Linked DNA regions of Stegostoma tigrinum. The protein of the gene in region 2 purifies or fractionates together with the protein of the main gene of each other region. This does not show direct contact. Links are inferred from orthologs where the notes say so. Each region holds a gene or a part of one and is shown on either strand. Other genes may lie near its edges. The genes, in order: fibronectin-like, galectin-2-like and itga4.

Region 1 (8,602 bases), on a different chromosome or scaffold from region 2:
TAAGTCATCTTGAGAGGGAGAGAGGGGGAGAGAAAGGGAGGGGGGAGGGGGAGGGGGAGAGAGAGAGAGAGAGCAAGAGTTAATCATAGGTATTTCAGAGGCTCGTCATCAATTCTGGGGAAGGGTCATTAACTCTTAAATAACAGGCTGCATTTTCCCAACAAAGAAATACTCAGGACCCAGGGGCAATTACATTAGTCACAAGCCCATTCACTGGCATGACGCAGCTTAATTTTACAGGATGTGGCATCGCCCTGTTTGTCTCCACAAAGTAAACCCAGCAGATGCACCTCTTGGCCCTCGGATCTCCTGCTGAGCACTTACTCACCTTCTGAGAGCAAGAAAGGCGCCGAGAAAGTGCAGGCAGTAAAGCGACCCCAAGAAAGTGGCCCAGTATAACTCAGATAACAAGGTGTAGAGCTGGATGAACACAGCAGGCCATGCAGCAGGAAAACTGACGTGAAGGGTCTCGACCCAAAACACCAGCCTTCCTGTTCCTCTCATGCAAAATTTTATGAAGAAGGATCTCGACCCAAAACATCAGCTTTCCTACTCCTCTGATGCTGCTTGGCCTGCTGGCGTTCATCCAGCTCTACACCTTGCTATCTCAGATTCTCCAGCATTGGCAGTTCCTACTATCCCAGTAAAACTCAACTGCTTGCCAAATGCAGCCACTCACAAGCTGAATTATGATTTTCACTGGCTTGAGATTACGAGGCTCAATGGCTGTGGGGAGTTCACCCCGAACTCTTGTTTCTCTCTCCATGGGAGCCATTCCTTTCCTATCATCTGCTTTTACTTCAGATTTTCAGTATCTTCGACTGCTGTGCTTTTGCATAAGCTCATCAGCTCTGATAAATAAGCATCTTCCAGTTTCCATTAGGATTACATCGTTCAGTCCCACGTCAAACAGGACCTTGACATGCAGCTTCAACTCGCACTCTTTCCTTATAAAGGATGCAACCATCAAAGAACCAGACTGTAAAATCAGTTTGATTTTAAGGAAAATGTGTTAGAGTTAAATCATATTATTTCCCCTCACAAATACCGACAGACCTGATGAGCACGTAGGCATGAGAGAGAATGCAAAAGATTCACAAAAATGGTTTCAAAGAAAAAGAGTCTTTCAGTTACATGGAGACACTGAGATCAAACATCTTGGGAGTCTTGGAGCAGGCTAAGGGAAGATCTGTTCGAGGTGTTCAAAATCCCAAGGGATATGGACCGAGCAGACAGGGACTGTTTGAAAGATCGAGAATCAGAGGACACGGATTTTAGATGGATGGCAAAAGGAGCAACGGCGGCGCAAGGGAAATTTCCTTCACACAGCAAGTGAATAGGATCTGGAATGCTCCCCCTGAGAATGCACTGGGGACAGATTCAATTGTGGTTTTCAAGTGGGTCATTAGATCATTATCACAGAATCCCCTACTGTGTGGAGACTGGCCATTTGGCCCAATAAGTCCACACCAATCCTCAAAAGAGCACCGCACCCAGATCCATCCCATTTCTGTAAACCCGAATTTCCCATGGCTAATCTGCCTAGCCTGTCCAGCCCTGGACAATGTCCCAAGGCCATTCCCCCTGACTCGGACATCTTTGGACTGTGGGAGGAAGCCACAGCACCCTGATGAAACCTACACAGACACAGAGAAAATGTGTAAACTCTACACAGTCACATAAGGGTGAGAACTGAACCCAACACACTGGTTTTGTGAGGCAGCAGCGCCAACCACTGAGCCACCTCATTATCTGAAGGCAGGTGAGAGAATACAGGGTAAAGGGGGCAAGAGTGGCATATTTAAATGACATTCTCATGAAGTGTCAATCTAGACACGAAGCATCAAATGGTCTCTTTCTATGCCTTAAATATTCAACAATTCCAAGGAACCCCTTCCAGGTTTCTAGCCAAGCGGTTGTACCTCGTTCGGAATTACTTAAGTTAAACTACAACTTCAAAATAGCTGGTAAAGCTCTTTCTAACTAACCCACAACAAAAATCCCACCAGACCATCCACCCATCTGAATGGGTCTGTAGGTGAATTCTTCGGTACATTCTCAGCTTACACATTAAACTCTAATGTAAAAGCAGCTCGGGATGGATGCTGGTTTTAACCTGTGGAGTCTCCTCAAGCAAAAAGTGATATAAACTACAATCACCCCAATTTAGGAAACATATAGGAGTGGTTTCTAAACTCCCTAATCCTGTTCCCCTCCCCCACCCCGGAACTCCCCTCCTTCAGTGAGTGCAGTGGGACAGGATGTGATGGCCTCTGTTGCTGAACAGCCACTAAATAGTCAGCATTCTGACCCCTTGGATGTTTGCATCAAAAGGTTCACACAATGTATTTTTTTAAAATCACATCTTCCCCAGATTAGCGGGGTGAAGATTACAAAGAAACCATTTGTCTTTCTTCCTCACACCCCAAATTTTGGAAAGATGCAGCATTTTAAAAAAACACAACACGCCTCAGATGCAGGAGAAAGCATAGTGGAACCACCCAGTAGTTAGGAGGCATCTGTGGAGAGAGGGAGAAAGGTCGTTTCATGCCCTTGTTCTTAAAATCTGCAATGGAAACTTCAAAATGTGGTTGGCGTAAAGAGAGAAAGGGCAGAAAGGGGTCAGAATGTATTATATGCCCTCATGTACACACAGTATTGAACCACAGGAGACATTCCGCCCCTACTGCCTGTACTAGCTCTTTCGAAGGCTATTTTGATAAACCACACGGCCAAACTATCGACGAGATCACGAAATTTGCATTCGCTCCATCGGCAAAACTCGATGCACCCCTGGTTTAAGTCTCGGAATCAGCATCTGGACATCATTTAGTCATTAAAGGACAGAACCAGAAGCAACGTGCCGGCAGAACGTTCTAAAGCACAGGTCTAGAAAGAGTTTGAACACATTCTGTAAGGGGAAAAATGCATGTTAAAAGTTTCAACAAGATTCTCTTCCTCTGGAAGACTTACTCTGATTCTGGGTATTTGCATCGTACGGACTTTGCCTTCTCTTTTTGCCTGCTTGACCGCTGGCTGCACTCAGACAAACGGCCAGGAACAAGACCCCGAGCATGGGGAGGTGCATCTTCCAGGCACCAGCTCCCCCTCGCCCTTTCACAGCTCGCCGAAGACAGCCAGATGCCTGACAATTACCCCACCGTGTTGAAAAGGAGAGGGGGTGGAGGGACTGGTCCAGAAAGAATTTGGCGTGGGGGTGGGGGGGGGAGGGAAGGGACAAGGACAGAAGAAACCAGACCAAAGGGAGACAGAACCTCTCAGCACACCTTTGGCCAGTGAGTGAGCGAGCGAGTGCCTGCTTCTGCAGCCCTCTTTATAACGTTGTACAGCCCCCGGACAGGATGGGTGGACCTTTGGAAGTTTGTGGAAGGGGAGGGGTCTCACTTAAGCTACATCAATAATATTTACAAGTCTGCCTCTGACATCACTGAGGACTTTGGGTGAAAAACAGCCAGTTCAGACACTTATCAGACACCAGGCATCTCTCTTAAAGGGGCATTGCATCCCTGAGGCAGCCTGCATGAGACAACAGACATCCCTCATAAGGCACGGTAGTCTTTCTGTAAAGTGAGTCACCGCTCGTCTTTAAAAACGGGAAATTGAGACTGAAATACTCTGTACATTTGCAACAAAGGAAAACACATGATTAAACTGAGCTCAGCTTCTGTCTTGCGAGCTGTTTACTTGTGAGTGATTTTACTGAACTGTAACTTGACAAATCACTGCTGGGAAGGATTGGAAGTCTTTTAATTTGTTTATTTTGGAAAGAAAGGTACACCTAATCTAGGCTCCTTTTACCAGCTGGAGGGGCAGCAAATCTGAGGCGAAGTGAGAGTCTGAATGTCAATGGGTGATCGAGGCGGCGAATTAAGTCCTCAACAAGACGAAGGGATGTTTGAGTTAATACCTAAACATCTCTAAAGTCATCCGCCCTCCCCCCATCCCCCGACACACACACACACACACACACACACAAATCCTCCACGAGATCTGCAAACATTGTCTTCACTGAATCCAAAAACGAGGTACAGATTTGTCCAAATATGACTTGCTAAGCTGATTTTTAAAAAAAACCCTTGTGTGAATTTTACATGAACTTGGTCTTCTGTAAAAAAAGGTGGAGGTGGGGATTCGGAGACAAAGGAGGTTGGGGGGAGGGGGTATACAGACATAAAATGAGACAGACTTGGTATTCAATCATAACCGAATGACAACCTTCCCGCCGCGTATGTGCAATAAACACTCGCTCCTAGGAAGTGTGAGCCAGACATTGCATCTTTGAACTCGTTCTCCGAGCGTTTGCAGTGTTTATTTTATTTAAAACGTGGGCGTTAGAAACGTCGCTTTTGCAGTTGCTTTCGATGCGCACAACGCGGGAGAATTTTTTTTGTTTTTTTTCGAAAACAAAGGTGAAATACCAGGGACGATGTAGGAAAAAGCAAACAAAAAATTGCGAAGCAGAACGCAGAAGGTCAGGCAGCATCTGTGGAGAGATACAGTCAATGTATAAGATTGATGACCTGACCCTTAAAGGTCATCCCAATTTGAAACATGTCGGTTTCCCTTGTAGCCTTCCCTATTTCCTGCATTCTTTTTTCTTGCCGTTCCAAGACTTGTCTTCTCACAATGCTCCCTCTTACACTGGGTCTCTCACCCGCTCTAAACTCTGCACTGACCCAGGCGCAACCTGGTAGAAAATGAAATGTTACAAATTTCCACCTCGAAAGTGTTCCATTGTTTGTAAAGTACTCGCATCCTCCCGAAAGGTGCAAATTTACAGCAGCATGTTTGGGGTATCTGTAATGAAACCGGAAACTGCCGGGGTACTCACTAGGTCTGTGCAGGGAGGAACAAAGAGTTAAATCGATTTCAGTGAGATTTCCTACGAACTGAATGTGCAAAGTGTACCTTTTTCCTTAAAGACAAAAATCAGTGTGTTACCAATGATAGGACGATGCCACAACAGTCACAAAAGGACTGAGCACGCTGGAGAATCTGAAACAAAACCTTGCTGGAGAAACTCAGCAGGTTTGGCCAGCATCTGTGGAAGAGTTCGGGGTTGCTCCTAATGTGAAGGCTGAGAGAGACTCGGGGGAAATAATTTTTTGAAAAAAAAGTTGAGACGGCAAGAGCTGCTAAGAAAAAAAGTAAACCAAACCCTTAAAATCAAACGCCTCTTTAAGTGAGGCTCTGTCGAATTTCATTATTATTCTACGTTTGAATTTGGGAAGGGACGTCCAAAAACAATGTAAGGTTCCTGCACTTCAAATTAAGTAAAATGCCTCGGGGAGCAGAGCTTCTGATTTTGTGTTAAGTGTATGATTCATGTTTGAAGGACGAAGCGTCAGTGCTTCAGTATGTCGGCCAGGAACTCCAGATAAGAAGGGGGACGCCGCCTTGTTTAACCATTAAGCCGGGGACAAGACGGATTGCCGAAGTATATTGAGTGGTGATTCCCTGTCGGGCTTGGACATATTCAGTGAGGCTGCCCTCCGGCCCACAAGACACCATTCTCTGCAAAACTAACTATCCACAGTCACCACCCCAACCCCGGAACAAAAGGGGATCCGTGCTTATCAATGTGCATTTCGTGACAAGAAACTCATCCCGTCTCTCTTAACACCCATTTTAACATAACTTAGCAAAGGCATGCTTTAATCGGTCGCTGAGTCACTCAGAGAGGGCAACCGGACCCTTGGAAGCCCAGGTTAACCCTGTTTTAATCTCGCACTCTCCTCAGTAATATGACCATAACTCAGCACCATCGGTATTTCGCTCAAAGACAGACTACCAAACCACACTGCTACATCGCCAAAAAGTGCAGAGGCCGGCACCTAGTGCTTAGACACCATTCAACCGCAGCTGTTCTTTTAACATTCTATAAAATCTCCCTCTCACTGGAGCATAGGGGGTTGAGAGGCGACCTTATGAACGTTTATAAAGCAATGAGGGACACAGGGAGAGTCAATGGTAGTTGTGTTTTCCCTAGGATGGGGGATTTCAGGATTAGGGGCCACATTTTTAAGGTGACAGGAGAGAGATTTAAAAAAGACTTTTGAGGGGCAATTTTTTTACACAGAGGGTGGTTCGCGTGTGGAATGAACTTCCTGAGGAAGTGGTGGATGTGGGCACGGTTACAATGTTTAAAAGGCATTTGGATTAGAACGTGAATAGGAAAGGTTTGGAGGAAAGTGGGCCAGAGCAGACAGGTGGGACTAGTTTAGTTTGGGATTGTGGTCAGCGTGGATTTGTTGGGCCGAAGGGTCTGTTTCCGTGCTGTATGACTCAATGACGCCACGATTCTAAGTCTTCTGTCTCTCTTCCTAAATGTGATGTGTGCTCTACTTTGGCACAGTAATGGTGTCCCTTCCTCAGGACTAGGGGACCCAGGTTCAGATCCCAAGGAAAGATCACTCAACCTAAATGTTAACTCTGATTTCCCTCTGCAGGTGCGGCCAGACCTCAGCTTTTCCAGCAATTTCTGTTTTTGTTTCAGATCCTGCCTGTTCCAGAGGTGTATCGTAACAACTGCTTCAAAATACATCAGTGTACCCCAAAAATGCTGTTCACCTCAGCCAGTCCCTATGGCCATGGTTCCCATGTTCTCTGAATGAATCACTGTCTAATTAATGACTCATATTTGTGAGCCCTATATTTAAACTTACCACAAAGGACAATGTCTTTCCCATATCATTCCTATTCACAGACAGGCCACCCCTCCTCTACAGGAGACCAGCTCCAGCCTCGAAACCTTCCCTGAGGCATATGGCTTGTTGGTTAGAATCAGGCTGTTTGGCCCATCGAGTCCACACCAACCCTCTGGAGTGCGTGCCTCCCAGACCCAGCCCTACCACTGTAACCCTGCATTTCCCATTACTAATCCGCCTTGCCTGCACATCCCTGGACACTATGGGGCAATTTAGCATGGCCAATCCACCTAACCTGCAGATCTTTGTGACTGCGGGAGGAAAACGGAGCACCCAAAGGAAACTCGCGCAGAAACGGGGAGAATGTGCAAACGCCACACAGACAGTTGCCCGAGGCTGGGACCAAACCCGGGTCCCTGGCGCTGTGAGGCAGCAATGCTAACCACTGAACCAACGTGCCACCCCACAGCAGTTCTAGAAGCACTTGTTTGCATTTTCTCTAGTGCCTCAAGATCCTCCTTATAACATGGGGATGGTGGATGACACTAATAGCATTCCAAAAAATGCTAAATAATGAAGGAACTGGGGAAGTGGGTGGAGATTGTGGATTAAATGACTATCACTGGAGGAAAAATGTACTGGGGAATCTTATGGGCCCAAAGGCAATAAGTCTCTTGATTCTGATGGGATACGTGCTGGATGTCAAAGAAGGTAACTGCAGAGACGGTGAGATAACAAGGTGTGGAGCTGGATGAACACAGCAAGCCAAGCAGCATCAGAGGAGCAGGAAAGCTGATGTTTCGGGTCTAGACCCGTCTTCAGAAGTCTACAGAGTTTGTCCTTTTCACAGGGAGTAATGTTTGAAAAATTGTTAGATTGTGGAAAAATACTGAAAGACTGGAAAACAGCCAACGTAACACCCTTACTCAAAAAGGTAGGAGACAAATAAGCAGGCAATTAGAGGGCTGTTCTGAGGAAGGGTCACTCGTCCCGAAGCGTTAACTGTGATTCCTCTTCACAGATGCTGCCAGATCTGCTGAGCTTTTCCAGCAATTTCAGTTTTTGTTTCTGATTTACAACTTCCACAGTTATTTTGGTTTCTGTCAGCGATAGGCCATTTAGCTTAACGTTTCTGGTCTGAGGAAAAAATGTATTAGAACCCATCATAAAGAATGCAAAGGCACCGCATTTAGAAATGCACAGCAGAGTTAGCGTGACTTCATGAAGGGGAAGTCACGCCTGCAAAATCATCAGAATCTGTTACTCAAAGCAGGATGGATAAAGGAAAGCAGTGGATGTAAAATATTTAGATTTCCAAAAGTTGTTCGGTAAAGTACTACATTTAAGTTAACTTCATGAGGTAAGGAACCGTGGAGTTGGAGGCAGTATATTGGCATGGATAGAGGATCCGCTAACTAATAGAAGACAGAGTTGCAATAAAGAGGTCATTTTTAGGGGGGTAACCCATAATTGGTGGAGTGCCCCAGGGATCGGTGCTGGGGCCACAATTATTTACATATAATGTTAATGATGGAAGGGATTGTACTGATGCCAGGTTTGCGGATGAGACAAAAATGAGTGACAAGGAAAGTGGGAAATGACACAAAGAGTCTACAGAGGAACATGGACAGATTAAGTGAGGCGCCAAATACTTGGCAGATGGTATATAATGTTGGAAAATGTGAGGTTATGCACTTTGGCAGGAAAATGGAGGAGTTGAATGTTGTTTAAATGGAAATATACTGCAAAATCTGTAGCACAGAGGCATTTGTGAATCCTTGTGCACAAATCATGAAAAACTAAGTTGATCGGGTAATATGCAGGGCAAATGAAATGTTGGCATTTACTTCAAAGGGAATGGAGTATAAAAAAGTAGGGGGGTTTTGCGAAAACTGTACAAAGCCTTAGTTAGATCATCTCTGGAGTACTAATGA
Region 2 (8,012 bases):
ATCCTAGAGTTCTGAGGGAGGTGGCTGAGGAAATAGCAGAGGCGTTGGTTGTGATCTTTCAAAAGTCACTAGAGTCAGGGAAAGTCCCAGACGTTTGGAAAATTGCTGTTGTAACCCCCTTGTTTAAGAAAGGATCAAGGCAAAAGATAGAAAATTATAGGCCGATTACCCGAACCTCGGTAGTTGGTAAAATTCTTGAATCCATTGTCAAGAATGAGATTTCTAAATTCCTGGAAGTGCAGGATCAGATTAGAACAAGTCAGCATGGATTTAGTAAGGAGAGGTCGTGCCTGACAAACCTGTTAGAATTCTTTGAAGAGGTAACAAGTATGTTAGACCAGGGAAACCCAGTAGATGTTATCTATCTAGACGTCCAAAAGGCCTTTGATACGGTGCCTCACGGGAGGCTGCTGAGCAAGGTGAGGGCCCATGGTGTTCGAGGTGAGCTACTGGCTTGGACTGAGGATTGGCTGTCTGACAGAAGGCAGAGAGTTGGGATAAAAGGCTCTTTTTCAGAATGCAACCTGTGACGAGTGGTGTCCCGCAGTGTTCAGCGTTGGGGCCACAGCTGTTCACCTTGTATATTAATGATTTGGATGAAGAGACTGGGGGCATTCTGGTGAAGTTTGCCGATGATACGAAGATAGGTGGAACTGAGGAGGTGGGGAAGCTGCAGAAAGATTTAGACAGTTTAGGAGAGTGGTCCAGGAAATGGCTGATGATATTCAATGTGAGTAAATGTGAGGTTTTGCACTTTGGAAGAAAGAATACAGGCATGGACTATTTTCTAAATGGTGAGAAAATTCGCAAAGCAGAAGTAAAAAGGGATCTAGGAGTGTTGGTCCAGGATTCTCTCAAGGTTAACTTGCAGGTAGCGTCCGTGATTAAGAAAGCGAATGTAATGTTGTCACTTATATCAAGAGGGTTGGAATATAAAAGCAGCGATGTGCTTCTGAGACTTTATAAAGCTCTAGTTAGGCCCCATTTAGAATACTGTGTCCAATTTTGGGCCCCACACCTCAGGAAGGACATACTGGCCCTGGAGTGTGTCCAGCGGAGATTCACACGGATGATCCCTGGAGTGGTAGGTTTAATGTATGGTGAACGGCTAAGGATCCTGGGATTGTACTCATTAGAGTTTAGAAGGTTGAGGGGAGATCTAATAGAAACTTACAAGATAATGTATGGCTTAGAAGGGATGGACGCTAGGAAGTTGTTTCTGTTAGGCGGGGAGACTAGGCCCGTGGGCACAGCCTTAAAATTAGAGGGGATAAATTTAGAACTGAAATGAGACAACACTTCTTCAGTCAGAGAGTGGTGGGCTTGTGGAATTCATTGCCGCAGAGTGCAGTGGAGGCCGGGACATTGGATGCCTTCAAGGCAGAGATCGACAAATTCTTGATCTCAGAAGGAATCAAGGGCTACAGAGAGAGTGCAGGGAAGTGGAGTTGAAATGCCTATCAGCCATGATTTAAATGGCGGAGTGGACCTGATGGGCCAAATGGCCTTACTTCCATTCCTATGTCTTATGGTCTTATGGTATGTGCACTGCTCGATGCACTGCAGGCTATTTTACGACCCCAGTGTAGAATCAATTGATAGAAAACGGCCAACAATTATCCTCAAAAGTGTTGGGTGAGAGCAGTGGGAATAAAAACAATGACTTTTCATTATACTATGTTGTTAACATGAGAGGGAATGTACAGCACATCGCAGGAACATTCTGAAACAAACTTTTGGCATTGAGCTGCATAAGGAGATCATTCAAGCTTGGGGGTCAAAGGTAGGTTTTGAGGAATGTCTTAAAGGAAGAAATTGCGATAAAGAGGCAGAGATGTTTAAGGAGATAATTCAAGAACTTAGGGCCCAGCAGCTGAAGGCATGGCTACTAATGATGGAGATTAGACAGTGGAACTAAGAACAGTCAATACCGCAACCCATGAGAGTTGATCCAATAAACACTTGAATAAAGGCAAAATACTGGGGATGCTGGAAATCTGAAACAAACTTCAAAAATTCTGGAGAAACTCAGCAAGTCTGGCAGCATCTGTGGGGGGAGAGAAACAGTTAAAGTTTTGAGTCCAGTATGACTCTTCAGAACTGAAAGGTGTTGAAAAAAATGTTTTTATACTTTTGACAGATTCAGAGGGGGAACAAGAAGGCAGATGGAATCAGGACCCAGTGCAAACAACAAAAGGGTGTTAATAATGGAAAAAAGAAAGATTTAAAATGGGTATAAATTAAGAATTAAAAGGGAGAGAGAAAATTAGTCCTCTGCCCGAGGTGCAAAGTAATTAAGACACCGAAACGACATGGCTCTGGGGAAAGTGTAGAACAAGTTGTTTCTTCCCGGAAAGACAAGTAACAAAATCTTAACAGCAAGAATGAAATCGCTTTATATTGATATCTCTGACTTTTAAGCATCCTGTATTCTGAATTACAGCTGATCTGCACCTCATCTGATCTTGCAGTTCCATGACTCTTGATTTCCTTGACCAACAAGGGCATGGCTATTCTCAGGCTTGAAACTTCAATTATCCCCCTCAACAATCACAGTCTTTTTGAAAGATTCCACACACCTTGATGTGGAAAAGTGCCCAATTTAACTCAGAGGAGGAAAAATTCAAATTTTAAGATTAGTCACCTCACTATTGAATGACCCAGATGGAAGAAATAAATTTTCCATACCAAACTTGTCGAATCATAAAATAGTACAACACAGAGGAGGTCACTTATCCCATCAAGCCTGTGCTAGCAATTTCAAGCAGCGTACAGATGAGTTCTACTTTTCCTCTCTTTCCCCATATCCTTCAAACCTTTTCTGCTTCTCCAGTAACAGTCAATTTTGTTCAATGTGATTTTAAGCACTTGAATACATTTTCCTCTTTTCCTTCTCTGTTCCAAGAAACCAAGCCAGCTTCTTCATTTTGTCCGTGTCATTGTAATCCCTCAATCCAAATAAATCTTTTCCAGAGACAGTGTGTCCTTTGCAAAACTTTCACCTCTTCCGAAAGAGCAGTGCCAAGAATTAGATGCAACTCTTCAAGTAGCTTGAATCCATTTAAATGCCTCAATCTTATTGGCACTCAGACTTCCCATATTGTCACCTAATTTTATCCTCCTTACATTACGTTTGTACTCCTGCAAAAAATTATGGTCTTGCTTGTATGAATTAATGTAGCTGACATTAGTTCTGCATCCCAGGAGAGTCAAATTATAAATGAAACAGCACTTCCAAGTAATGAAATCAGCGAGTTATTAGAATTTATGGCATTTCAAGTGAGACATGACCTTTACTTGAGTACAGTCCCTTTAAACTTTTTCAGAATTTGGCAGTACCTTACTGAAAAGGGCCTTGGTCCCTTTACCTGGTTAAACACAAATACAAAAGGATAAACAACTTTATAGTCCATATACTCTACTCACCGACATCTTCGTGTGTATAAAGAGGAAGTTTGAGTATGCAAGGGAAGTGGTCACAGTCTTGTGAAGAGAGAAATGAGAGCAGAACTGTGCGCATATGTGTGTGTATATATATATATATATATATATATATATATATGAGGTAAAGCATGTTAATCATTGATCAAGTTGCGTATCAGTTTTAAGCCCACTTGTAAATGATTTATAACAGTAATACATTTACAAGAGATAACACAGTGTGGAACTGGAGGAACACAGCAGGCCAGGCAGCATCAAAGGAGCAGGAAAGTTGACGTTTTTGGTTTTAGTGACTGTTAAATAGTGTGTAATGGCAGGCTGTAACAACAAGGCCTGGTGTGTAGGGTAGGGGGCGAGGACATGGGAGAGTGACTGTATGTCACTAACAGTCCCCATTAACAGCTATTCACCCTCTGAGCCAGATCATCATCAACTCCGAGATAGTAGAAACTGCAGATGCTGGAGAATCTGAGATAACAAGGTGTAGAGCTGGATGAACAGAGCAGGCCAAGCAGCATCAGAGGAGCAGGAAGGCTGATGTTTTGGGCCCAAAATGTCAGCCGTCCTGCTCCTCTGATGCTGCTTGGCCTGCTCTGTTCATCCAGCTCTACACCTTGTTGTCTTGTTATCAACTCCATTGACTATCCAATTGCTCTTCTCTCCATCTCTGGACACTATCCTTTATCCTACTGTTCACTCCCTACCCCACCAGCCTTCCTATTTTCTGATTCTCGACTAACATTTTGCCAGCTACCATAGGTTCTGAGGAAGGGTTGCCAGACCCAAAATTTTAGCTTTGATTTTTCCTTCACAGATGCTGCCAGACCTGCTGAGCTTTTCCAGCATCTGCAATTCTTTTGGTTTTTCTGTTATAAAAATCAATTGGTTCACTGATGTCCTCTGGGGGAGGAGATCTGACATCATCCTTGGTCTGGCCCATATGTAACTCTGGACACACAGCAATGTGGTTGACTCAAATAGCTTAGCAAGCTTAGATCGAAGCCCATTAGGGATGGGCAATAAATGATGGCTTTGCCATTTACTGCCCATATCCCTTAAGCAAAACAAAAGTACATCATTGACTATAAGGTGCATTCGGATGTGCTGAAGATAAATGGTGCTATACAAATTCCTGTTCTCCTTTACTGGTGAAGAAAGAATTGAAACACTGACGGGAAAGCTTAAACCTCATTAAAACTTAGTTTATGCTGAACCATGTATAAACAACAATACCAGAATTTAGTCTGTGGGCCCTTTGTTGATTGTCAGTAGGGACTGGCTTAATATTGAACTATTAATTAATAATTTTGTAGTATTCCTCTCTGCGCTATTATCTCCTTAATACCTGTTCAAATGCAGACCTCGAATATCATTGAAACATCAAAAAGAGATTCACAGGAGTGATCCAGGGGCCTGAGTTCCAGAAGTGAGTTCAAATCTCACTGCACTGATGAAATTTAGATTTAATGAAATAAATTCAGAATTGAAGTAAATTTCAAAATTGTGGTAACCATGAATGAAGTAGATTTTTGCAAAAAAAAACTCCCTCCGGTTCACTTTTGATGTCTTTCAAGGGGGGATATCTGTTGACATTAGCTGGCCAGACCTACCTGTAACATCAAGAGCCTCAAGGACATTTAAGTGCCTTCTGCAAAGGCCTGTTTAGTCTCTGTTTCATCAATCTATTACAGGAAGCCTGTTCTGACACCACATCGACTGCATGTGTATTTTGAGGGCAGTTAGGGATTCACAACAAATACCTGGCATGCTGGTGCTGTTCACATCCCTTCAATGAATAACAATGAAACACTAAGACAAGTTAGTCCAAGGGATTGTTTTTAAGGAAGGCAACAAGAGATGTTTTAAGGAGCAAATTCTCGAGGTTAAGCCCTAACAGCTGAAGGTGTGGCCACCAGTGGGAAGACACTAGCTGATTTTTCTTTTCATAAGAACATAAAAACGTAAGAGCACATATAGGCTATTTGGCCCAAATGTCCGCAACACCACACCAGCCCCCACACACAAAAAAAAGAGTAACCCATGAGTGCTGGAAATTTGAAAATGTAGTAAATGTTGGAAACATGCATTTCTGTCAGGTGTCTAATTGTAAAAGATCAGATCTAGTGACAGCCTCCACGAAATGATCAGCACAGTAGCACAGCGGTTAGCACTGCTGCCTCACAGCGCCAAGGGCCTGGGTTTGATTCCAGCCTTGGGCAACTGTCTGTGTGTAGTTTGCACCTTCTCCCCATGTCTGTGTGGGTTTCCTCCAGGTGCTCTGGTTTACTCCCACAGTCCAAAGATGTGCAGGGTAGGTGGACTGGCCATGCTAAGTTGCCCATAGTCTCCAGGGAGGTGTAGATTAGGTGGGTTATAGGGGGATGGGTTGAGGTGGCATGCTCTGAGGTTCGGTGTGGACTTGTTTAGCCAAAGGGCCTGTTTCCACACTGTAGGGATTCTATAACTATATCAAACCTCATGGATGAAGACATGGTTCAACCCTGTGCTTTCCTTTCCAGAGCCACAGAATCAAATTTAGTCTAGATTTCTCAGATGAAGTCTTCCCTTGCCGCTGGCCTCAAAGGTGCTGTGTAAAATTAGTTTGGGCAATCTTAGTTCTGATCATATGGACCTATTAGTGTCAATTCCCCCTTTTAGAAAAGGCTAAAGATGGTCCATGTATGGAATGGATTAGCAGAGCAGGTTTGAAGGGCTGAATGGTTCATTAAGCAAAGAACCAGACCAAGAGTAGGCAATGCAGTCTCTTGAGCCTGCTCCATTTAATACAGTCATGGTTGATCTCATCTCAGTCTCAAATCCACTTTCCAGCCCTCTCTCCAAAACCCATTACTAAATAAAAATCTATCTCCAATCCTATTTTTTTCTATATTTCTCAGCCTCTGGCTTTTGTATACTTGAGCTGGGAGTAACACTCACTACCCAATGTAGAAAAATGTTACTATTATACAGCACAAGGACCCAAACATAAACATTCAGGCAGCAAAGACTTCACCCAACCTCTTTGAGTCTGTTCCAGTCAAAGTGAATGACTTGCATCGTCAATTTGGCTTTTTTGTTCTGTGTAACCTGTGTGCTTATTATGTTTGTCTAATTTAGAGAAATGCAACTTCTGTAAGCTATCCATAAATAAAGCTTCTTGTGAGACGAATCAGTTCCTTGATGACAATTCTTGTTCTACAATGGGTTAACTGAGGGAGAAACAGAATCCTATATGGTCACTTTCTTTACCCCACATCAACCAAAGAATATTAAAGAGGCATCTGGTTTATCAGACATGAACTTCTGGTATATCAGATCACATGGGGTTCTTACTATCGAGGTGTAGTGGATTGTAAATTGTGATTACGTAAGATTGAATGTGTTTCTGACAATTATTAGGGGAATGCTGCAATACATCAGGGTGTGGATGGATAGTTTAGGTGTCCTTATTAAAAGAGGGGTGCAGAAGGAATGCAATGGAGATTCACCAGATTAATTCCTGGGATTGTTTTATCAGAAGAGATTGAGGAGACTGCATCTGTGTTTCTTAGACAATAAGACATGGGAGCAGAAGAGAGAATACAACAAAGGTTAACCAGACTGATTCCTGGGATGGTAAAATTGTCCTGTGAGGAGAAATTGAGGAAACTGGGTCTGTACACTCTAAAGTTTTGAAGTTTGTGAGTTGATCGCATTGAAACGCACCATACACCTACAGGACATGTCAGGATAGATGCAGGAAGCATGTTCGCCCAGCTGGAGTGGAGGACGTATATAGAATTGGGTCACAATCTCACAATGAGAAGAAGACAAATTTCTTCACTCAGGGTTGTGAATCTTTGGAATTCTGCTCTCTAAAAGGTGTTGAGGCTTAGATATTGAGTAATGACAAGACAAAGTTGGATAAATTTTAGATATTAAATTATCAAGGGATATGGAGATAGTGCAGGAAATTTACGTTGGAGTAGATGATCAGACATGAGCTGGTTGAAGTTAAGGCTCAAGGGTCCAACTGGCCTATTCTTGCTCCTATTTCCTATATTTTTATGAGATCTTCTTCATTGACCAGGACAGGCAGATGGGGCCGGGACAGGACATTGACCATTTGGCACACCCTCAGTCTCACACTGGATTGTCAGCTTTCACTTCAATGCTCAAACCTCAAAAGCTGGAACCTTACGATGTATGGCAAGAGTGTTACTTGTTGAGCTACAGATCATTTTTCCATTATACTCTCTTGAGAAAAGTAAAAACGATTAATTAACTAATGAACAGTCCCTTACTTAGAAGGACTTTCTTTAACATTTCTGCGATTATAAGTTTGTAGGCACTTGTTTAAAGTTAGAACAATGAGAAGCATAGTCAGCAGAAATCAAACCTGCACTGGATCACCCCAATGGATTCCAAATCCATTACCTTATACTCTCAGCCCGGTCATGTTGTTGTATTCTTTTGAATAACCAAATAAGAACTGAAACCAGGTAAGACAAAATTATTATGGAACAGTCTCTTAAAGGAACACAGGAACAAAATCAACTCCACAAATTAAACTCGAAATTCAAAACTGATTG
Region 3 (7,564 bases), on a different chromosome or scaffold from region 2:
CTGCGTGGAGAAATGGCAGATAGAGTTTAATCTGGACAAATGCAAGGCGATCGCATTTCAAAAGATTTAATGCCAGAGGAAGTGAACAGTAAATGGCAGAACACTTAGAAGCACTGTACAAAGGGATCAAGGTGTACAGGTCCACAATTCCCTGAACTTGGCAACACAAGAGATTTTGGTGGCCAAAATGGGCACATGCTTACCTTTGTTGGTCTGAGCATAGAGTATAAAAAATGGCAAGTTGCAGGTCTACATAAGTTTTTAGATAGGACACATTTGGAATATTGTGTACAGTTTTGATCTCCGCAGTACTAGGAGGATGTGGAGGCTTTGGAAAGGCTACAAAAAGGTTTACCAGAATCATGTCTTGTTTGGAGGGTATTAGCTTTTGGGAGGGACTGGATAAACTTGGCTTGTTTTTACCTGAACAAAGGATGAGGGGGGTGACATGTTAAGAATTTACAAAATTATGTGAAGCATGGATAGTCAAAGTCTTTTTCCCAGGGTAGAAATGTCAATTACTAGGGGGCAAAAGTTTAAAGGTAACAGGAGGAAAGTTTAAAAAGAGATGTGAGAGATAAGTCTTTTTGAACACCGAGAGTGGTGAGTGCCTGGAATGCACTACCAGAGAAAGTAGTAGAAGCAGACACAACAATGTTTAAGATGCATTTTGACAGATACATGAATAGGCAGGAAATAGAGGGGATACGGACATTGTGGAGGCAAAAAGCTTTTTAGTTTACAAAGGCATCATGTGTCAGCGCAGGCTTAGTGGGCCAAAGGGCCAGTTCCTGTACTATTGTTTTTTGTTCTTTCATATACGCTTATCCAAGCGGGTGGATAGTATGTAATTACACCTTGGGACTTGTGTCCTGTAGCTCAGGGACAGACACCTGGGGAGTCAGGGGGTCAGTAACTTTCTGGAAGCCCATCAGGTTAACATCGATGGATTTTCCTCTTATCCACTTTGCTCATAACAGCTTTAAGAAATTCAAAGTATATTGGCCAACAAGTGTAATCCTTCATGAATCCATATGATTCTCCATGACCAGATTCTACTCGTCCAAGTACTTAGTCAATATCTTTGATTGTAGAGATCCAGTTTTGACCAAAAGAGAGTTAAAATGGAAATTCTGTAATTGCCTGTTTTTGCTCACTGTATAAAATTTTACAATCCAAAAGTACAATGCATCTATATTGGAAAATGTATGACTAGGACATCTGCCATTTGCACAACAATTAAATACTCTTGGTAGGAACCATCATCATTAGAAGCAGTTTGTTCACTCTCAAGTACCATTATTATCTCCATTACCTTTTGTTTTTGTAATTGAAAATTCAATCCAAATGCTTCACCTCAAACTAACTTTAGGTTCCTACACTATTGTCTTCAACCTCCACTGCACAAACAAAGTACTTAATATTGTTGATAATGGGAACTGCAGATGCTGGAGAATCCGAGATAACAAAGGGTGGAGCTGGATGAACACAGCAGGCTAAGCAGCATCCTAGGAGCAGAAAAGCTGATTTTTCGGGCCTAGACCCTTTATTAGATTAAAAAAACTTCATATATTGGTGCACCTTTACCTGGCTAAAATACGTAGCCAGAATACTGCAGGGTCATTGGAGGGATCAATAAATTCAGAAAGAAAGTTCTATTCAAATCAGATCAATCATTCAGAATCTCAATAAGAAACTGATCCTCACCACTCTGCAATGTACCCTATCAAAGCCAACAAAAAGCATGAATTGTGGAAATAAATAATAATTTAGTGGGGATGGAGACAGAACACCGGTGCTCTACACAACACTGTTGAGATTAGTGAGAGATGATAGAGCTTGGAGATGCAAAATGATCTGCAGGTCCCAGTGTGTTAACTGAAAAAGGGTAACATGCAAGTATAGTACATAATTTGTAAAGCTTACAGTATGTTCTTGTTTCTTGTGAGGGCAATGGATTAGAAAGATTGTGTTTCAGTTGTACAGGAGCACTCATGAGATCGCATGTGGATACAATGTACGGTATTGGCCTCTTCAGTGAAGGAAGAATGTAAATGTAAATGGGATCAGTTCAGAGAAGGTTTACCAATCTAAGACCTCCTATGAGCAGGAAACATTGAGCTGGTGTAAAGACTATTTTCTTTTGGTTTGGTGATTGCGGGGGTAGTGAGACAGGTTATGGCAAATGCAGGCAATTAAGTAGAGATGATTCAGGAGGGGAGGAAAGCTGAGATGGTTTAGATGGATTGGGGAAGTTGGTTGGGTAAGATGGGTCAGGTCAGATTTGGGAGGGATCAGTTGTAGATATTTTCAAGAAGTAGCGACAACATCACTGCTGCACAAAAGGTTTGCTGCTACAGAATTCTTGGGCTTTCAAGAAGACAGAACTTTTTCTTCAACATATCCAGTGGCTGACATCAAAAAACTGTGAGCTTTTCCTTTTACTTTTACAATTCATACAGAAACTGAATAATGCTGTCTTTGCAACTAACCTAAATGCAGTTCTTCGCAAGTTTGATTCGCATTGCGGTCGATTCGGCATTTGTAAATAATTCCGGGGTTTACTGTACCACCAAAGGATGCATTTGCTTTCGGAGCACCAACAACAAACCTGTGGTAGCAAAAGGAATAATAATTTAGAACCACATTAAAAGAAAACATTGGCTAGAACAGTCTCTGCGTGTGACAATGGCAAAAATCACTGAGTAGTTTCAAAACTTCTGACACATAAAACGCATCCCTTTGTCATTTATTTCTGGGATATACCTGAAAGAAACCAACCCCATTTTAACCATTCGAAACACGGTCTTAATCACCAAAATTTTATTGATTTCAGTAGATAATTTCCAAAAATAATGCCGTTGGCACTGTTTTAAAGAAGTTTAGTGTTGTGCTTTTTTTTAAGCTTGCCACGTGCAAATTAAATTAGAAGAATGCGATATGACCTGCTTCGATTAAAACTAAACTGAACGAAAACTTACCACTTTTCGTCTTTGTAGCTGTGTAATAGTACCGAATATCCAAACAGTGTCCCTGAAGGTCCTTTAACTAGGACAGGGTTTTCCGTATCGAGGTTGTAAGGTGTCACCGTCCGGAATTCACAGCACAGAAGCAAGAGCATCCAGAAACCACACCAGTCAAACCCCCACGCAAACCTTTGCCGTCGCATTTTCTTTTCAGTTTGAGTTGCACTGCGAGACTAAAACATGCGGGAGTTCTATTCCCTAACTTGAATCTTACTCCGAAACCTGAACGCAACATCTGCACTAAACTACTAAGCACCGCCCATCCGCTGATAGCTGGGACTCGGGTTCAAACCCCTGCGGGCAGTGCCAAATTTCTGCGGTGGGGGGCGCTGTTGACCTCCTGGGCCAGAGTCAAGAGCAGGGTGAGCTGGTCAACTACACTCATATCCAACTGTTTCAGGCGCTAAAGCAGATCTATCTTCAGATGACAACAGTTGTCAAAATCGCATTTACCCTTTCATATTAATTACTTTTTTAAATTTCAAAACATTCAATGTAGGAGTACCTTGGGAATATGGTGTACAACCTGATGGATTGTGGTGAGGAATATACCGAGAAAAATAATCACATTTGAAAAGCCACAAGCGAATCTACGGTTGCCAACAGTGATTAAATATTTTCCTGGGGATTTCCTCACATGCCTTGAGCCCATGCTCCAATTGTTAATTGCCCAAAACATTCACGCTTATGACACACTAGCTACCTAAGCATATTGGAAAGGAAAGGAGCTTACCCATTAGGGTCATGCTTGACTGCGAATAAAACAATACATTTCCCCCAACCCCCACTGATTTTCAATATTTTTATAACTGGCAAACCAAGAAAATTACAGGAACAAAAACAAAGCTGCTGGAAAAGCTCAGCAGGTCTGGCAGCATCTGTGGAGGAGAAAACAGAGTTACCGTTTCAGGTCCAGTGACCCTTCCTCAGAACTGATGGTGGCTGGGAAAACGTCAGTTTATATGCAGAAAATAGGGAGGTGAGTAGGGTAGGGAGTAAACGATAGGATAGAGCCCAAAGAGAGAGAAAGACAGTTGGACAGACCAAGGAGTTGTTAACAATCAGGCTGGGAGGGTGAATAGTTGTTAATGGGGACTGTTAGTGACTAACAACAGGGGGTGTGTAATGGCAGGTTATGTGGTAACAAGGCCTGGTGGGTGGGGTTGGGGGCTGGGACATGGGAGAGCTTAGGCCCTAAAATTATTGAACTCAGTATTGAGTCTGGAGGCCTGTAGGGTCCCCAAGCAGACAATGAGGTGTTGTTCCTCCAGCTTGCGTTGGGCTTCACTGGAACATTGTAGCAAGCCAGGGATAGAGATGTTGACCAGGGAGCAGGGTGGCGCATTGAAGTGACAGGCAACAGGTAGTTCAGGGTCTGTTTTGCAAATAGAAGATAGATGTTCTGCAAAGTGGCTGCCAAGTCTCTGTTTCGTTTCCCCAATATAGAGGAGACCACATTGTGAGCGGCAAATGCAGTAAACCAGATTCTTGGAAGTGCAGGAGAAGTGTTGAAAGGTATGTTTGGGCTCTTGGATACTGGGGAGGGCGGAGGTAAATGGGCAGGTGTAGCACCTTCGCTGGTTACAGGGGAAGGTGCCGTAGGGCTGTGGGGAGGTGTTGGGGGTGAAGGAAGCGTGGACCAGGGTGCCCCTGAGGGAACGGTCCCTGCGGAAGGCAGACAAGGGAGGGGAGGGGAATATGTATCTGGTGGTGGCATCTTGCTAGAGGTGGCAGTAAGGGCATCTGATAATCTTCTGGATTTGGATGCCAGTGAGATTGTGGGTGATTTGGTTTTTTGGTTTTCAAAGTTTTTTTTGTGATGTCCCTGTGACTTTTCTCCAGTGTTGCAAGCAGCAGAAAGCTGAAGATTGATCCTCAATTCTTGGAGATTCCAAGCTAATCCTGGAGGGATGGTAAACCAGTTTGGAATTATTGAAGGCAACTCGTGCCTGATTAACCTTGAGAGTCAGTGAACAAAATTTTTCCAGCCATGGTGAGGTGGGATGAGTAGCTAGTGCAAGCATTTAATTGAGCGCAAGTCATATATTCAGATTCCCAATGACAATATTAAGCCTTTGATCACGGGTTCATAGTCTCTCCCTCAGATGGCAACAAGCTAATTTCCTTGTATTTATAGCTCATTAATTCCCCAACCCTCAAAATTAACCACTGAACCACAGAGAAGTTATAGCACAGAAAGGACCCATTCGGGTCCACCATGCTGCACAATTGAATAAACCAGCCACTTATTCTCATCCCACTTTTCAATGTCTGCTCTGCAGCCTGGTAGGTTCACAAGGTTTCAGACACAGATCCAGGTTCCTTTCAAATATTTGGGGAGATCTGCATCAACCACCAAACTAGGCTGTGAGTTCTAGACAAATACCACCCGCTTGGTGAAAATGTTTGTCTTCACGTCCCGTCTAATTCTTTGACTAATCGTCTTAAATCCATGCCTCCTTGCAATTGGCCTCTCTGTTAGAAGGAACAGGTCTTCCCTGTCCACTCTGTCCTCATACCTCAATATTTTGTTCACATCAATGAAGGTAACCTTTTCCGTTATAAGGAAAACAACTCTAGCCGATCCAATCTTTCCTCATACCTGCAATTCTCATGCCCTGGGACCATCTTGTAAATCTGATCTGTACTCTCTCCTTCCTGTAATGTGGTACCAGAATGGTACACAAAACTATAGCTGTGTCCTACTCAGTTTCTTATTAAATTCTTGCAGTGCATCACTGCTTTTGTATTCAATATCTCACCTACTGAGGAATAGTGTCCCATGCGTTCTCTTCATCCCGTGACCAATCTGATCTGTCACCTTCAGGGGCCAATGAAAATGCACTCCTAATTCTCTCATTCCTCCACTCCTCTCAATACCCTCTCAATCATTGTGTATTCCCTTTCTTTGTTTGCCCTCTCCAAATATAAAGTATGCAAGAAATGGCCTGGGTTATGGAAATAACATTGTTTGGTGGCAAGGTAGGTACCCTTCATGGGGTGTTTTACTGGCAGAAGTCTATTCCCACTGGAGCAGAGACACTCCTTGGTTGCCCATCATTCAGTTGGATAAGGTCACAGACCTTGGAACATCTTACTCAGGCTTCCATGCCACACTATGTGAGGGCATAGCATTCAGCTGGATTTTTAAGGACATGAGTGCTTAAACATGTTCCTTCAATAACACTGTGTCATCTTTCTGACTTTCCCCACAGCTTATCTGCTGATGGAGCTGAAATGTCCAAGACCTTGCCTGTCTTCCTGGTGACCTGGCTGTTACTCAGAAGAAACTGGAGGTGGACTTGCACTCACAAGGGCTGAATGGCAACCTCCCATCCTGGAGACCACTAAATTCACAGCTTCCCTTTGATTTGTTTGTTAGCGATTCATTTCATGAAGCATCAGCTGAAGTCTGTAGAGTCAAAATTTACCATTCTGCCTTCATCAATCTCCTTTGCTACCTCTTCAAAAACACTCAATCAGATTAGTGAGACACAATTTCCCATGCACAAAACCGTCTTGGCCATGCCTGAATAGTCCTTGCCTTTCCAAGTGTATGTAAATCTTGTTACTGATGCCACTTTTACCAGAGCCTACTTCTTCATATTCTTCCCCTTGATGATGATAGAGAAATTGCTACAGCACGGGCATGTTCCAGCATTTCTGGCTTCCCCTGGGTAAAAGCTACCATCAATTGCACCCAGGTAGTTTTGACTGTCCTATCACCATTTTGGGGTATTTGTGAACAAGAAACAATTCTTTTCACTTAAGGAATTGTGACCAACTGAGCCACTTCTCAGAGGTCTGCACGAGATACCCCGGGAACTGTGCGACGCTTATATAAGAGAGGGCTCACAGGTTCCTTTCTCTTCCATGTACACATAAAATTAAAGTGCATGGGATTGGAGAGAGAAATGTTATCAAACAGAAAGAAGCTATGTAGCCCATCATGTCTGTATCAATTGAACAAAGTAGCCACCCTCTTTCATAGCAAGAGGATTTGGTTACAGGAGCAGGGATGTCACTGTTGTGCAGCTTTGGTCTCTATCTGTGGAAATATGTCCTGGCTATGGAGGGAGTGTATCAGACTGATTCCTGGGATGGTAGGATTGATGTATGAAGGAAGAGATCAGTTAGGATTATATCTACTGGAGTTTAGAAGAATGAGGAGGGAACTCACAGCAACCTGTATGTTTCTAACAAGTCTCGACAGGTTAAATATAGGAACCATCTTCCCAATGACCGGGAGTCTGGAATCAAGGGTCACAGTCTAGGGATATGGGGTAGACCAGTTGGGATTGAGATGAGGAGATATTTCTTCTCCTAGAGAGTGGTGAACCTGTGGAATTCTCTGGCACTGAAAGTGTTGAGTCCAAAACATTGCATGCTTCCAAGAAACAGTTAGATATAGTTTTTAGTTTGAAAGGGGTCAAAGGATATGGAGAGGAAGCAGGAACAGGGTATTGAGTTAGATTATCAGCCATGACTGTACTGAAGGGTTGAAGGGCTGAACGGCCTACTGGTGCTCCTATTTTCTG

What was found.
Region 1: the proteins of galectin-2-like (region 2) and fibronectin-like purify together in Homo sapiens (affinity purification with mass spectrometry; 3 studies listed by BioGRID and IntAct, with this or other methods). This does not show direct contact. The link is inferred for Stegostoma tigrinum from reciprocal best matches to the Homo sapiens genes LGALS1 and FN1.
Region 3: the proteins of galectin-2-like (region 2) and itga4 purify together in Homo sapiens (affinity purification with mass spectrometry; 3 studies listed by BioGRID and IntAct, with this or other methods). This does not show direct contact. The link is inferred for Stegostoma tigrinum from reciprocal best matches to the Homo sapiens genes LGALS1 and ITGA4.

Annotation. Positions count from the first base shown.
Region 1 is NC_081360.1:11,864,185-11,872,786, forward strand, and holds the start of fibronectin-like, read right to left. Parts: upstream 3,314-8,602; 5' UTR 3,089-3,313; coding exon 2,974-3,088; intron 1-2,973. UniProt on the Homo sapiens protein: Fibronectins bind cell surfaces and various compounds including collagen, fibrin, heparin, DNA, and actin. Fibronectins are involved in cell adhesion, cell motility, opsonization, wound healing, and maintenance of cell shape.
Region 2 is NC_081391.1:12,805,096-12,813,107, forward strand, and holds the start of galectin-2-like, read right to left. Parts: upstream 3,546-8,012; 5' UTR 3,433-3,545; coding exon 3,427-3,432; intron 1-3,426. UniProt on the Homo sapiens protein: Lectin that binds beta-galactoside and a wide array of complex carbohydrates. Plays a role in regulating apoptosis, cell proliferation and cell differentiation. Inhibits CD45 protein phosphatase activity and therefore the dephosphorylation of Lyn kinase.
Region 3 is NC_081360.1:42,646,756-42,654,319, forward strand, and holds the start of itga4 (integrin alpha-4), read right to left. Parts: upstream 3,277-7,564; 5' UTR 3,170-3,276; coding exon 2,982-3,169; intron 2,612-2,981; coding exon 2,493-2,611; intron 1-2,492. UniProt on the Homo sapiens protein: Integrins alpha-4/beta-1 (VLA-4) and alpha-4/beta-7 are receptors for fibronectin. They recognize one or more domains within the alternatively spliced CS-1 and CS-5 regions of fibronectin. They are also receptors for VCAM1.